3 linked regions of the Elephas maximus indicus genome follow. The main gene of each other region encodes a partner of the protein of the gene in region 2 in a complex. Links are inferred from orthologs where the notes say so. Each region holds a gene or a part of one and is shown on either strand. Other genes may lie near its edges. The genes, in order: SERPINA5, F2 and SERPIND1.

Region 1 (3,820 bases), on a different chromosome or scaffold from region 2:
GCAAACCAGCCATCAGTCAGTCTGAAGCCAAGGGGCCTGAGGAAGAAGGAGCCGGGGACAGGGGAAGTGGGGGCTGGTGTGGGGAGTCAGTCCTCCTGCTGAGTCCACACAGCCACGCACCCCAAACCCGTTGGCTGATACTCCTAATGTTAGGCAACCAAACCCCAGACAGGCTGACTTAGGACTCTGTGGGAGGCATGCAGCTGAGGAGGGTCTGTTCCGTACCTGTCAAATCCAAACAGGGAGAGGCCAAATTGCACCTTTCCCTGGATTTCAAAGACGGGGGGGACAGAGCTTCACGGGAGAAGTGACCGTAGAAGCTTTCTTAACTTCCCCCTCTACCTCCTATCCATCTGCACGTCTTGTCGATTTCAATCTCCAAGATATGTTTTAAACCTACTGGGGGCACTCCATCTCAGTGAAAGCCCCTTCGTCCTTCGCCTGGACCCTGCAAAGCCTTCCTTCCTGCCCCCACAAACCAGCTTCCTCAGTCAGAAACCTTGTTGTCAGAGCACTCCCTTGGATCTTTGGGGGAAATCTGAGTTTGGTTTGTGTGCCAACCCAAAGGCCCTTCAGGGTCCCCTTTGCCCTGCTCTCTGGCCTCCCCCTGATGGATTCTCCCACTTTCACTTCCTCTAGGCCCACTTCTTCTCTCATTTCCCCAAACCCAATGCCCTCTCCAGCGCTCCGGGCCCTTCATGTCCTACTGTCTCCCCTGGAAACCTGCCCCCACCTCCCCCACCTTTCTCGTCAGAGCATCAGGCCTCAGCTTCAAGGCCCCTTCTTCGTGGTCCCTCTGGAAGCTGGGCCCAGGCCCCTTGGTTGTTTCTCTCAAGAGCCCCATCAATTGTTGTGCGCCATCAAGTCGATTCCGACTCATAGTGGTCCTGTAGGACAGAGTAGAACTGCCCCATAGGGTTTCCTAGGCTGTAATCTTTATGGAAGCAGATTGCCAGGTCTTTTCTCCTGTGGAGCTGCTGGGTGGGTTCAAAATCTTTCATTTAGCAGCTGAGCACTTAACTGTTGGGCCACCAGGGCTCCTTTCCCATCAATTATGCATGCGTCTGGGCTCAATTTCTTTTGTTCTGCTTCTCTCTCCACTAGAATAAGTGCTCACAGCAGGGAGCCCCCCATCTGCTCTGCCCCCAGTCACGGGGAGATGCTCCATGCACCTTTGTGGGATGAATGAGTGAAGGAATGAACCACCCCTGGCCCATCCTTTGTAATTCGGTGTCGGGCCGCAGGCTGGGTGCTGACTAGTGGACCTAGAGCCAGGCTGGGCATCCAGACCCTTGCTCACACCACCAGCCCCGGGGTTAACTTGACCTTGAGTTACTCCCTCCCCTAGCTCAGCCTGTTTCCTGACTCAGGGGAGCAGTTTCTCCTTTTATTGTTGCATTTCTTGCCAAAGGTCCCATCCGTTAAAAACTGAAAACTGCTGATTTCTGTCTACCTTGTGTTTATTTAACAAACTGCCAAATGGTGTCTGGAGTTGGCGGGCAGCTGCTGTGACCCTGAGGGGAGGCCTTATCTCAGGGAAGTGGATTGCATTTTAGAATGTTTCCTGATTTTATGGGTCAAGACCCTTGGCATAGAAAACAATGCAAGCCAAGGTTACTGAGCACCTCCTGCTAGCCCGGCATTTTGTCCCCTCCTCCTCGTCCTCATTTCAGGGTTTCTCAACCTCACACTGTCCACACCTGGGGCTGGATCCCTCTGTCATGGAGGAGGCTGCCATGTGCATTGTAGGATGTTAGCGACGTTCTTGGCCTCTGTCCACTGGATGCCAGTAGCCCCCCCTCCGCCCCCATCTAGTTATGACAACCAAAAATGTTGCAGACATTGTTAAATGTGCCTGGGGTGAGGGGGTGGGTAAAATCACTCCTAGCTGAGAACCACTGCCTTACTTAATCTTCATATCAGGCCAGGCGTATGCAGAGGGTTAACTATTTCCACCTTACTGATGAGGAAACTGAGGCTTGGCCACATTAGTGCCATGCCCAAGGTCACACAGCTAGGGGAGACTCTCCTCCCTGGCTCAGTTCACGTTGCCATGAGGGCCCTTCCCGCTCTCCCTCTATCTGTCAGGGATGCCTCTGCAGCTCTAGCACCCTCCAGGTCCCTTAATCAGAGCCCATTCCTTGTCTCTGCTCCCACGTCCTGGAAGCCCCAGGAGGCCCCTGTCTGCACTCCAGAGTCTGTACTTACTCTGTCCAGTGGCCGAGCGTGGAGACAGTGGAGGTGGCGTCCGTCGGGCTTAGCAAAGGGCAGAGAGCTGGCTGGACTGGAGCCAGAACTTGCCTACGACCTTAGCGGCCAGGACTCCACCCCTCCCGGGCCCCGCCCCAGGCGCCCTGCTCTGTCCTGCAAGGCTTCTAGCCAGCAGGCGGGCTGTGGACAAAGCTGCATGAGGGCCACCCACTCACTGTCCTTCAAGCCCCACACCGGCCTCAGTTTGCCTGTATATGCATGGGCACCCTGGAGAGACGAGGCAGAGTCAGGAAAGGCCACTGTCAGCACACCCCGCTTTTCATTAGACTCAACACGTTTGTTTCTGCAGCCCATCTGCTACAGATCCAAGAAAGGGGAGACTTGAGCCCCAGACTCCACAGGCCTTCTGTGCTGACTTGTCTCGTGGTCCTCAACAGCCAGATGCTGGTGGACCTTAAAGGGATTAGGAGAGCCTCAGGATGGTTGAGTTGAGGGGCCACTGTGTCTGGTCCCCACGTTGCACGAATCACTGAATTGTGGCTCAGAAAGGTGAAGGGACTTCCCAAAGCCGTACATCAATTTAGGGGCAGAGCGGGGCCTTAGTGCCCAGTTCTCTGACATCTATTGTTACCTGCCATCAAGTGGACTAAGAGTCATAGCTACCTTGTGAACAACGGAATGAAATGTTTCCCAGTCCTTCATCATTAGCACGATCACGGGCATGTTTTATTGTGGCACTGAGGCAATCCATCTCATCCAAGGTCGTCCTTGCCATTTCTGACTCCACTTCACCACACATGATGTCCTCCTCCAGTGAGGTGTCCAAAGCAAGTGAGTTGAACAATGTTCTGTAATGACCCATAGGGTTTTTATTGACTAATTATCAGAGCTAAATTGCCAGGCTTTTCTTCCTAGTCTGTCTCAGTCTGGAAGCTCCTCTGAAACCTGTCCACCACGGGTGACCCTGCTGGCATTTGAAATACTGGCGACATAGCTTCCAGCATCGCAGTAACACACAAGCCACCACAGTAGGATAAACTGCAGGCGGAAGGAGGATCACCAACCTAGAGATTCCTAAACTGTGCTCTATCGGATGGAAATCGGTGTTACACACCTATTATAGGCTACATGTTGTTGTTAGGTGCCAGAGAGTAGGTTCCGACTCAGAGTGACCCAATGTACAATGGGATGAAACACTTCCCGGTCCTGCACCATCCTCACAATCATCGCTATGTTTGAGCCCATTGATGCAGCCACTGTGTCAATCCATCTCGTTGAGGGTCTTCCTCTTTTTTGCTGACCCTCTACTTTACCTATATGATGTCCTTCTTCAGGGACTGGTCCCTCCTGATGGTGTGTCCAAAGGACATGAGACAAAGTCTCACCATCTTCGCTTCCAAAGAGTATTCTGGCTGTATTTCTTCCAAGACAGACTTGTTCGTCCTTCGGGCAGTTGATGGTGTATTCAGTATTCTTCACCCTAAAGTTATCCAGATATCTATTATCTAGAACCTTTTTTTTACTGGTTTATGAATGTCTCCTTACATGGCAAAGGGACATTGCAGTTGTGCTTAATTAAGTTAAGGCTCTTGAGATGGGAAGATTGTCC
Region 2 (3,820 bases):
TGGGGGCTAGAGATGCAGAGACACAGGCTAGACCATAGGGACAGAAAGGCAATGTCATAATGGACCATATCTACCATGGCCTCCACCAGACTGAGTCCAGTACAACTAGATGGTGCCTGGCTACCACCACTGACTGCTCTGACAGGGATCATAATAGAGGGTCTGGGACAGAGCTGGAGAAAAATGTAGAACAAAATTCTAACACAAAAAGAAAGACCAGACTTGCTGGCCTGACAGCAACTGGAGAAACCCTGAGAGTATGGCCCCCAGACACCCTTTCGTCTCAGTAATGAGGTCACTCCCGAGGTTCACCCTTCAGCCAAAGATTGAACAGCCCCAGGGAAGAAAACATGACTAAAGGGGCACACCAACCCTGGGCAGGGACTGGAAGGCAGGAGAGAACAGGAAAGCTGGTAATAGGGAGCCCAGGGTTGAGAAGGGAGAGTGTTGACATGTCATGGGGTTGTTAACTAATGTCGTACAACAATGTGTGTACTGTTTGATGAGAAACTAGTGTTCTGTAAACCTTCATCTAAAGTTCAATTAAAAAAAAAAAAGAAAGGCAATGTCAATGTAAGAGGCTGCCCCTACTGGGCCACATCCCCTAACCCACCCCTACCCTCCTCCTCTTCCAGGTTCAGGCCCCTCTCTCCTGGGACTGCTTACCCCTCACATCCCACACCCCTGACGCTGTTGTTTCCTCACCTTCCAGACATTCCACGAGGTTTTCTCGAGGTGTCCTCACTGGCTCACAAGCTGCAAAAGACCCAGAAACACCTTTGGAAGCAGAGTAGGGACAGGATGGACTGGAATAAAGGGTGGGGGGGGGGTAATACTCAGAAGCAGAGAAATGAACAGATAGAAAGAAAGAAGGCTGAGTGAGTGTATGGATGGATGACTGGTGAACCAGATATTTCTGTGAGGTAGAACATTCCCTAGCTCGAGTCTCCAGGCCTCCCTTCCAGGAGCAGATCCTTCTCGATGCTCACCTGTGTACTTGACCCAGAATGCTTCCTGAAAAACAAGGACTGCAGTGAGACTGAGCCGAGAGCCTTTGATTTACTTATTTTTATTATAGTAAACTTCTGTCTTCTCCAATGACTTTCCCTTCCCTTAGCTCAGTCACACAGAGTCAGGCTCTGGGGAGATTGGTGACCAAAAGCCCAAGCCCATTAAAGAAAAGGGTATTTGAGGAGAGGGGAGTCCACTCTCTCCCACTCACCACAATTGAAAAGGGGTCCCCTGAGCTGGGGTAGGTGAGAGGAGAGAGGAGCATGGGTCCTTAGCTGCGGGCCCTGGCAGACACCCAAGGAAGGGAAAGGCTGCCAGAGTTCCAGGAACGCTGAGGCCTAAGCCCAGGGCTCCTGGCCTCATAGGATTCCCATAGCCCAAGGGTGGCACAGAAAGGCTGAAATTGAAGAGATCACATGGGTCAGGGCAAGGGACTGTAGAGATCCCAACATAGGCAGCTGTCTGGAGACCAAGGAGGCCTCTGCATGTCAGGCAGCCTCAACAGACCCTGGCACTTCAGCATAGCCAAGTACAGGGACCTCCAAAAATGGCTGAGGTTGATCACCTTGCCAGCCCAGTGGAATGGGGATCAGAGTTGAAGTTAACTTAGCAGTAGTTAATGAGTTCCGATGTTCTTGGTCCTCACCGTGTCACTGGGAGACTCCAGGGCCTCGAAAGCCTCCTCATAGCTGCACTGCTCCTCCACGCACTCTCGCTCCAGGTTACCTTTGCGCATCTCCTCCAGGAAGCCGCTGTTGGCACGGCGGACCCGCTGGAGCATCGACAGTGCTTGCTGAGGGGCCAGGAACACTGCGGTAGAAGGGTCGTGCGACAGCGGCCTCAGAGAGCCAGGCGGCCTTGGCCATGGTGGGGCCAGGAAGCAAGCCATGCTGGCATCCAGAAGGGGGTGGCTGGCATGCCGGCGGAAGCCAGAAAGCAGCCAAATGTAGCCCACCAGGTCCCCTATTTACATTGGCCACTTCCAGCGCACTCCCCATATTGCAGGAGAGAAGCAGCCAGCGTCCTCCAGCCCTGAGGACCTAGCTGCTTCCCTAAGCTGGATACCCTGGGCTGAGACCCTCCTGGGGGTCAGCCGTGTTCTCTGTCAGGCCAGTAGACCCCAACCACGGCCCATGGCCCAGTCTTCCAGCCTGTCCTAGCTTCCAAGCCGCCCCTTACCATGCTGGCTGTGCGCAAGGCTGAACAGGGCAGCTAGGGCCAGGCAGCCAGGCAGGCGCGGGCCTCGGACGTGCGCCATAGTGTGTCTGCTCTGGGACTCTGAAGGCTCATCCTGACCCCTCTGGGTTAATGTTGAACTAGCATGAAGAAATTGGCCGAGAAGGAGAGGTCATGGGTTCAGGGCCGTAGGGACAAGCAGATAGATAGTTCACCTGCCCACCCCCGCCATCTGGTGAAAACGTTCTCCTAGGACCAGAGATGGACAGTCTGAGAGGAAGCCACAAAGGAAAGGTCACTGTAACCACCAACCCCCACTCCTCCTCTCCCTGGGGCATGAGGTGAACTTGGGCCAAGATCTTCCTGAAGCTAATACATGGTAATGATTGCTTTAGTCTCTATATGCCTCAGTTTTCTCATCTGTAAAATGGGGATGGTAATAGAACTTGGTGTGAGGAGTAAAGGAGATTATAAATGTAAAGGTCCCTAGGTGGTGCAAATGGTTTGTGCTTGGCCACTAAACAAAAGATTGGGGGTTCGAATCCACCCATTGGCTCCCAGGAAGAAAGGTCTGGCTATCTACTTCTGAGAGATCATAGCCATGGAAAACCCTATGGGGCACAGCTCTACTCTGACACACGTGTGGTAGCCATGAGTCAGAATTGACTTGACAGCGACAGATTTGGTTTTTGTTAATAATTGGTAAATGTATGTCAATACATAAATAATTGGTAGATAAATGTATGTAAACTGACGGAGAGGTTTGTGGAATCACAATATGCAGATATAAGAAAATGGAGACAAGGGTGTGGCCACAATGTGGCCGGAGACAAGGGTGTGGCCACAATGTGGCCAGACACAAGCTGTCCACCTCTTTCTGGGATGTGCTGGGGGCAGGGACACCCAACAGGGGCCCCGGACTCTCAACCACTGATGGAAGGTTCCATTTCCCCTTTTTCCCATCTGGGGTGCTGTGGATGTGTGTTTGTATGTGGTGGTTACCTGGGAGGAGCAGGTCCAGGGCCTCTTGGGCCTTTGGTCTATTTTCTTTCATCTCCCAGGACCTGCTGCCTGCCCGGAACAGAAGCCAGCCCAAATCCCAGGGCCTCTGGGGTAGGGCCCCTCCCTCTCTCCCTGCCTGTCTTACCTGGTCCAAGCCTAGAGTGGCTGCAGGTCCTATACTGCCCCTGGGCCCAGCCCTGCTCCCTGTCCCTCCCCCATTTCCTGTGTGCAGTCTGCAAGATAAATATTAGTCCTGGGTCTAATTAGGACAGAAGGACAAAGAGCGAGAACAGAGGGAAGCACAGGGCCTTGCCTTGCCTATCCTTTGGGCCTGGCTGTTTGGGGTCTGGACTGCAGTCATGTTCACCTGGCAAGATCACGGGCAGGGGCCTGGTGCAGTGTTTGTAACAGAGAGGGTTGGCAGAGCCCTGCAGACCAGGCTCCCAGGAATCAGCTTAATTCCTGGGTGGCCAAAGTTCTTATATTTTGTGTGTGTGTGTGTATGTCTGTCTGTGTGTATATATATATATATATAGAGAGAGAGAGAGAGAGAGAGCCCTGGTGGCACAATGGTAAAGCGCTCAGCCACTAATGAAATGGCTGACAGTTTGAACCTGCCCAGTGGCTCTGC
Region 3 (3,600 bases), on a different chromosome or scaffold from region 2:
CTAAAAAATCAGCCACTGAAAACCCTACGGAGCACAGTTCTACTCCGACACACATGGGGTTGCCATGAGTCAGAGTGGACCTGACGTTAATTTTTTATATCATAGCCCCATGGATCCCTGTGAATGCCTAAATGGACTTGAGTTTGAAAACCACTGCTTCAGGTAACATCCCTCTCTCTCCAACAATGAACATGACAGTTTGGCTGCAAGCTCTCCTTGACTGGAGAAAGGTTCTATTCCATGGTTTCTTCGCGCTCTAAGCCACCAATCTCATACTTTCCCCTCCACTTTTGTCTGAGGTACATGATCACAGAAGGACGGGGACACCTGCCTCATTGCCGAAGCAGCCACGTCAACCCTGGAGACCTGGGCAAGGTCAGATGCTGTGATCAGATCTCCCTCTGGCCTCGTAAAAGGAAGAGAAATACTTGGAGGGCAGGTCTGTAGCCTCTACTTTCAGGGAAGCGTTCCAGCTCTCCCTGACTCAATCTCATCACCCAGAACTCTGAAGAGTGTCTTGGTGACTTCAGCAAGGGCTGCTCCTGCACCAAGGCTCTGTAAGCACGCAGACAATTCTGGTGTCACACGTTCAAAACAGCAGCTAAGTCACAACTTGAGCTAAATCACAAGCTGAGAAGTCACAAGTCACTTAGCAGTGATCAAAGACATAGTTGAGGGGGTTTGTGCTGACAAAGCTAGCTGAGTATTGTTTGACTTGGGACATATTTACTTTGGAAAACATGCAACAACAGCTTAGCACCAAAGTTCACATTGAAATTCCACTGCTGATCTTGGCTGTTTTCATCTCTGCAACTCCACGTCTCAGCAGCACAGAGGTAAGTCTGGTCTTTAACACTTCTGCTGATCATAAAATCTTATTTGTGATCTTTCAATATGAGCTTCATTTCTCCATCCGACTACAAATTTCAATGCTTTCTATACTATTTGAGAAATGCAAAGATTTTTTTTTAAAACCTGCTTATTATAAAATTCTGTCAGTTATGTTATCAGGACAATTGACAAAATTGGATCATGGACCATAGAATAGATGGAAGTATTACATATACGTTAAAATATTTTGAATTGGATGACTGTACTGTGGTTATGTATGAGAATAATCTTGTTCTCAGGCACTTTTCCCTAAGGTATTAGTATTAAGGATTAAAGGGCCAGGATATATGCAACCTACTTTCAAATGGTTTGGAAAAGAATAATATGTGTGTGCGTATATATATGTTTACACACACACACACACATACATATATGGAGAGAGAGAGAAAATGATAAAGCAAACACTTCAAATACAAAACCCTAGTGACTCTCTGGGTAAAGGGTATATAGAGGTTGTTCTCTATACCATTCTTGCAACTTTTCTGTAAACTGAAGTTATTTCAAGATAAAAAAGATTTTGTAAATCCAGGCAGTTATGTCTCTCCTACCACACCTGCTGTTTGGGCCTAGTCCCCCAGGAGGGACAAGGTGTCCCGGTGTCATGCTCTGACGAACCACTGAAAAGTCCTGCTCCACACAATTAACACAAGAAACCACCATGTGAAATTTCCATGAAAACAAACTTTTGAGCAATTTTCCTATTGCTCTCTTCAAAGACAGTAATCTGAATTTAAACACAAGCTAAACCTAGTGATAATTTTTAAATATCTTATATAATTTTTGTGGTACTAAGTAGCAAAACCAAGGAGCCTCAGTGGTACAGTGGTTAACTGCTCAGTTGCTAACCGAAAGGTTGGTAGTTTGAATAAGCAGCAAAACCAAGGAGCCTCAGTGGTACAGTGGTTAACTGCTCAGTTGCTAACCGAAAGGTTGGTAGTTTGAATCCACCAGCTGCTCTGTGGAAGAAAGATGTAGTAGTCTGCTTCTGTAAAGACTATAGCTTTGGAAACCCTATGGGGCAATTCTACTCAGTCCTATGGGGTCACTGTGAGTGGGAATCAACTCGATGGCTACAGGTTTTAAGTGGCAAAAAATCAAGGACCATAAAGGACCTAATTGTTATATATAGAAAATATCATAGTTTCTGCTTCCTCTCATGAAGGAATAATGAAAATTACTCTTGGCTTTTCAACATATAACATAGGTTCAGAGTATATGAAGCTTCCAAATATACTATCCGAATACCAAGATAAATACATGAATGCCTTTGCCCCGTCCTCCTAGTTGGTTCCAAATTTTTTTTCCTGAACTCTTATCTATTCGAGTTTATTTTTTTTAAACCTTATTTTATCTGAGAAGGATACTTTTAAGTGCCATCTATCAAGCAGATGTCCACCAAGTTGCTTTTCTAACTTTTTAAAATGTATTGCCATCAACACCCAGGCCCCATGCTATTTGGAAACTGGGCCTAATTCTACCTGACAGCCAAACACTGCAGAATTTATTCACAGGTGCAGACCACAAGGTACGACAGTGCTCACTACTGGGAGGCTGGGCGAAAAAAGACAGCAGACACTTTGAAAGTTAGAAACTCCGAGGCTTCCCCTCCTAAAAATGTGAAATTCAGAAACCTCTCAGTCATGACTGACACACACTTTGAGCTGATTGTTTTAGTAGTTCCGTAGGGGGAAGGCCCAAGGAGGGAGACTGGAGGCAGGGAAGCCGTCCAGGAAGTGACTCTCAGAACAGGTCTGTCTAAAGAGGGGCTGTCAATCATGTGCTCCTTGAGTAACGGAGTGCTCCATGCTCCCCTGTGAACAAGGCACACTAGACTCTGAGGAGCTGGCAGTCCAGCCAGCTTGGCTTGAACCTAGCCACTGCCACTTTTAGTGATGTAAGACTCAGTTTCCTGCTATGGGAAATGGCAAGGGCAACACTGAGAGAATTAGTTAAATCACAAAGCACAATAGGCATTGCTCTTATTAACATCTACAAATCTTACAGTATTTCAAGTGGGTATCCAGACAGTTGGGTGGTGCAACTTTGGTTAACGTGCTCGGCTGCTAACCAAAAGGTTGGAGGTTCGAGTCCACCTAGATGTGCTAGGAAGAAAATCAGCCTTTGAAAAACCTACGGAACACGGTTCTATTCAGACACACATAGGGTCACCGTAAGTCGGAGCTGACTCAACAACAACTGGTTTCCATGTAGTTAGCCCCGACTTCTGGACTAACAAGTTCAAATATTTGCTTAACGGAAGCCAGTAACTCTTATCTGGCCTACACTGGAGGCAGATATTCTGGCCCTCACATATCTACTGAGCAGGAAATGATCACTGAAGCACAACCAACTTAGCAGAACAAAAGGCTTCCTTCCAGGGTGAGCAGAAGTCATACTGGGATCATGAACTACCTGCCTGGGTCAGCATTATAAACACTAACTGTCAGCGTCCAGGCAAAACGTGGACACATCAAATTATACCTCATCTACCCGGGATGCCGGCACTGGGTTTTTTTTACCCGGAATGCAGTTAATAACCTGGACATAAGCAAAAGGAAAACTTATTTGGCAGCCAAAATTGATTTGACAAGCAAGTCAAATCCTTCCTGGCACAGGCAAGGGACTGACAGATAAATATAGGCTTGCCACAAGGTCCGTGTATTAATAACCAACTTTACTTAAATGAAGGTAATGACGCTTAGGCCTTTA

Evidence for each region.
Region 1: the proteins of F2 (region 2) and SERPINA5 are in contact, whole or in part, in a crystal structure (PDB 3B9F), measured with the Homo sapiens proteins. The link is inferred for Elephas maximus indicus from reciprocal best matches to the Homo sapiens genes F2 and SERPINA5. Residues at the interface, in NP_000497.1 of Homo sapiens: Arg383, Pro386, Glu388, Leu389, Leu390, Cys391, His406, Cys407, Tyr410, Pro412, Trp413, Asp414, Lys415, Trp455, Glu457, Asn458, Leu459, Asn506, Arg541, Ile542, Asp562, Ala563, Cys564, Glu565, Gly566, Asp567, Val588, Ser589, Trp590, Gly591; in NP_000615.3 of Homo sapiens: Gln241, Lys295, Lys296, Arg297, Thr368, Ile369, Phe370, Thr371, Phe372, Arg373, Ser374, Ala375, Arg376, Leu377, Asn378.
Region 3: the proteins of F2 (region 2) and SERPIND1 are in contact, whole or in part, in a crystal structure (PDB 1JMO), measured with the Homo sapiens proteins. The link is inferred for Elephas maximus indicus from reciprocal best matches to the Homo sapiens genes F2 and SERPIND1. Residues at the interface, in NP_000497.1 of Homo sapiens: Lys384, Ser385, Pro386, Gln387, Leu389, Leu390, Cys391, His406, Cys407, Tyr410, Pro412, Trp413, Asp414, Lys415, Leu423, Arg425, Ser430, Thr432, Arg433, Tyr434, Lys440, Ile441, Ser442, Met443, Asn458, Leu459, Lys470, Trp511, Ala513, Asn514; in NP_000176.2 of Homo sapiens: Glu75, Asp76, Asp77, Asp78, Tyr79, Leu80, Leu82, Ile85, Phe86, Asp89, Asp91, Val305, Glu306, Met307, Thr308, His309, Gln327, Asp343, His361, Lys362, Arg388, Thr457, Val458, Gly459, Phe460, Met461, Pro462, Leu463, Ser464, Thr465.

The regions. Positions count from the first base shown.
Region 1 is NC_064828.1:108,117,230-108,121,049, reverse strand, and holds the start of SERPINA5 (plasma serine protease inhibitor), read right to left. Parts: upstream 2,278-3,820; 5' UTR 2,209-2,277; intron 1-2,208. UniProt on the Homo sapiens protein: Heparin-dependent serine protease inhibitor acting in body fluids and secretions. Inactivates serine proteases by binding irreversibly to their serine activation site. Involved in the regulation of intravascular and extravascular proteolytic activities.
Region 2 is NC_064825.1:102,166,376-102,170,195, reverse strand, and holds the start of F2 (prothrombin), read right to left. Parts: upstream 2,270-3,820; coding exon 2,191-2,269; intron 1,822-2,190; coding exon 1,658-1,821; intron 1,015-1,657; coding exon 990-1,014; intron 757-989; coding exon 706-756; intron 1-705. UniProt on the Homo sapiens protein: Thrombin, which cleaves bonds after Arg and Lys, converts fibrinogen to fibrin and activates factors V, VII, VIII, XIII, and, in complex with thrombomodulin, protein C. Functions in blood homeostasis, inflammation and wound healing.
Region 3 is NC_064840.1:21,269,218-21,272,817, forward strand, and holds the start of SERPIND1 (heparin cofactor 2), read left to right. Parts: upstream 1-811; 5' UTR 812-836; intron 837-3,600. UniProt on the Homo sapiens protein: Thrombin inhibitor activated by the glycosaminoglycans, heparin or dermatan sulfate. In the presence of the latter, HC-II becomes the predominant thrombin inhibitor in place of antithrombin III (AT-III).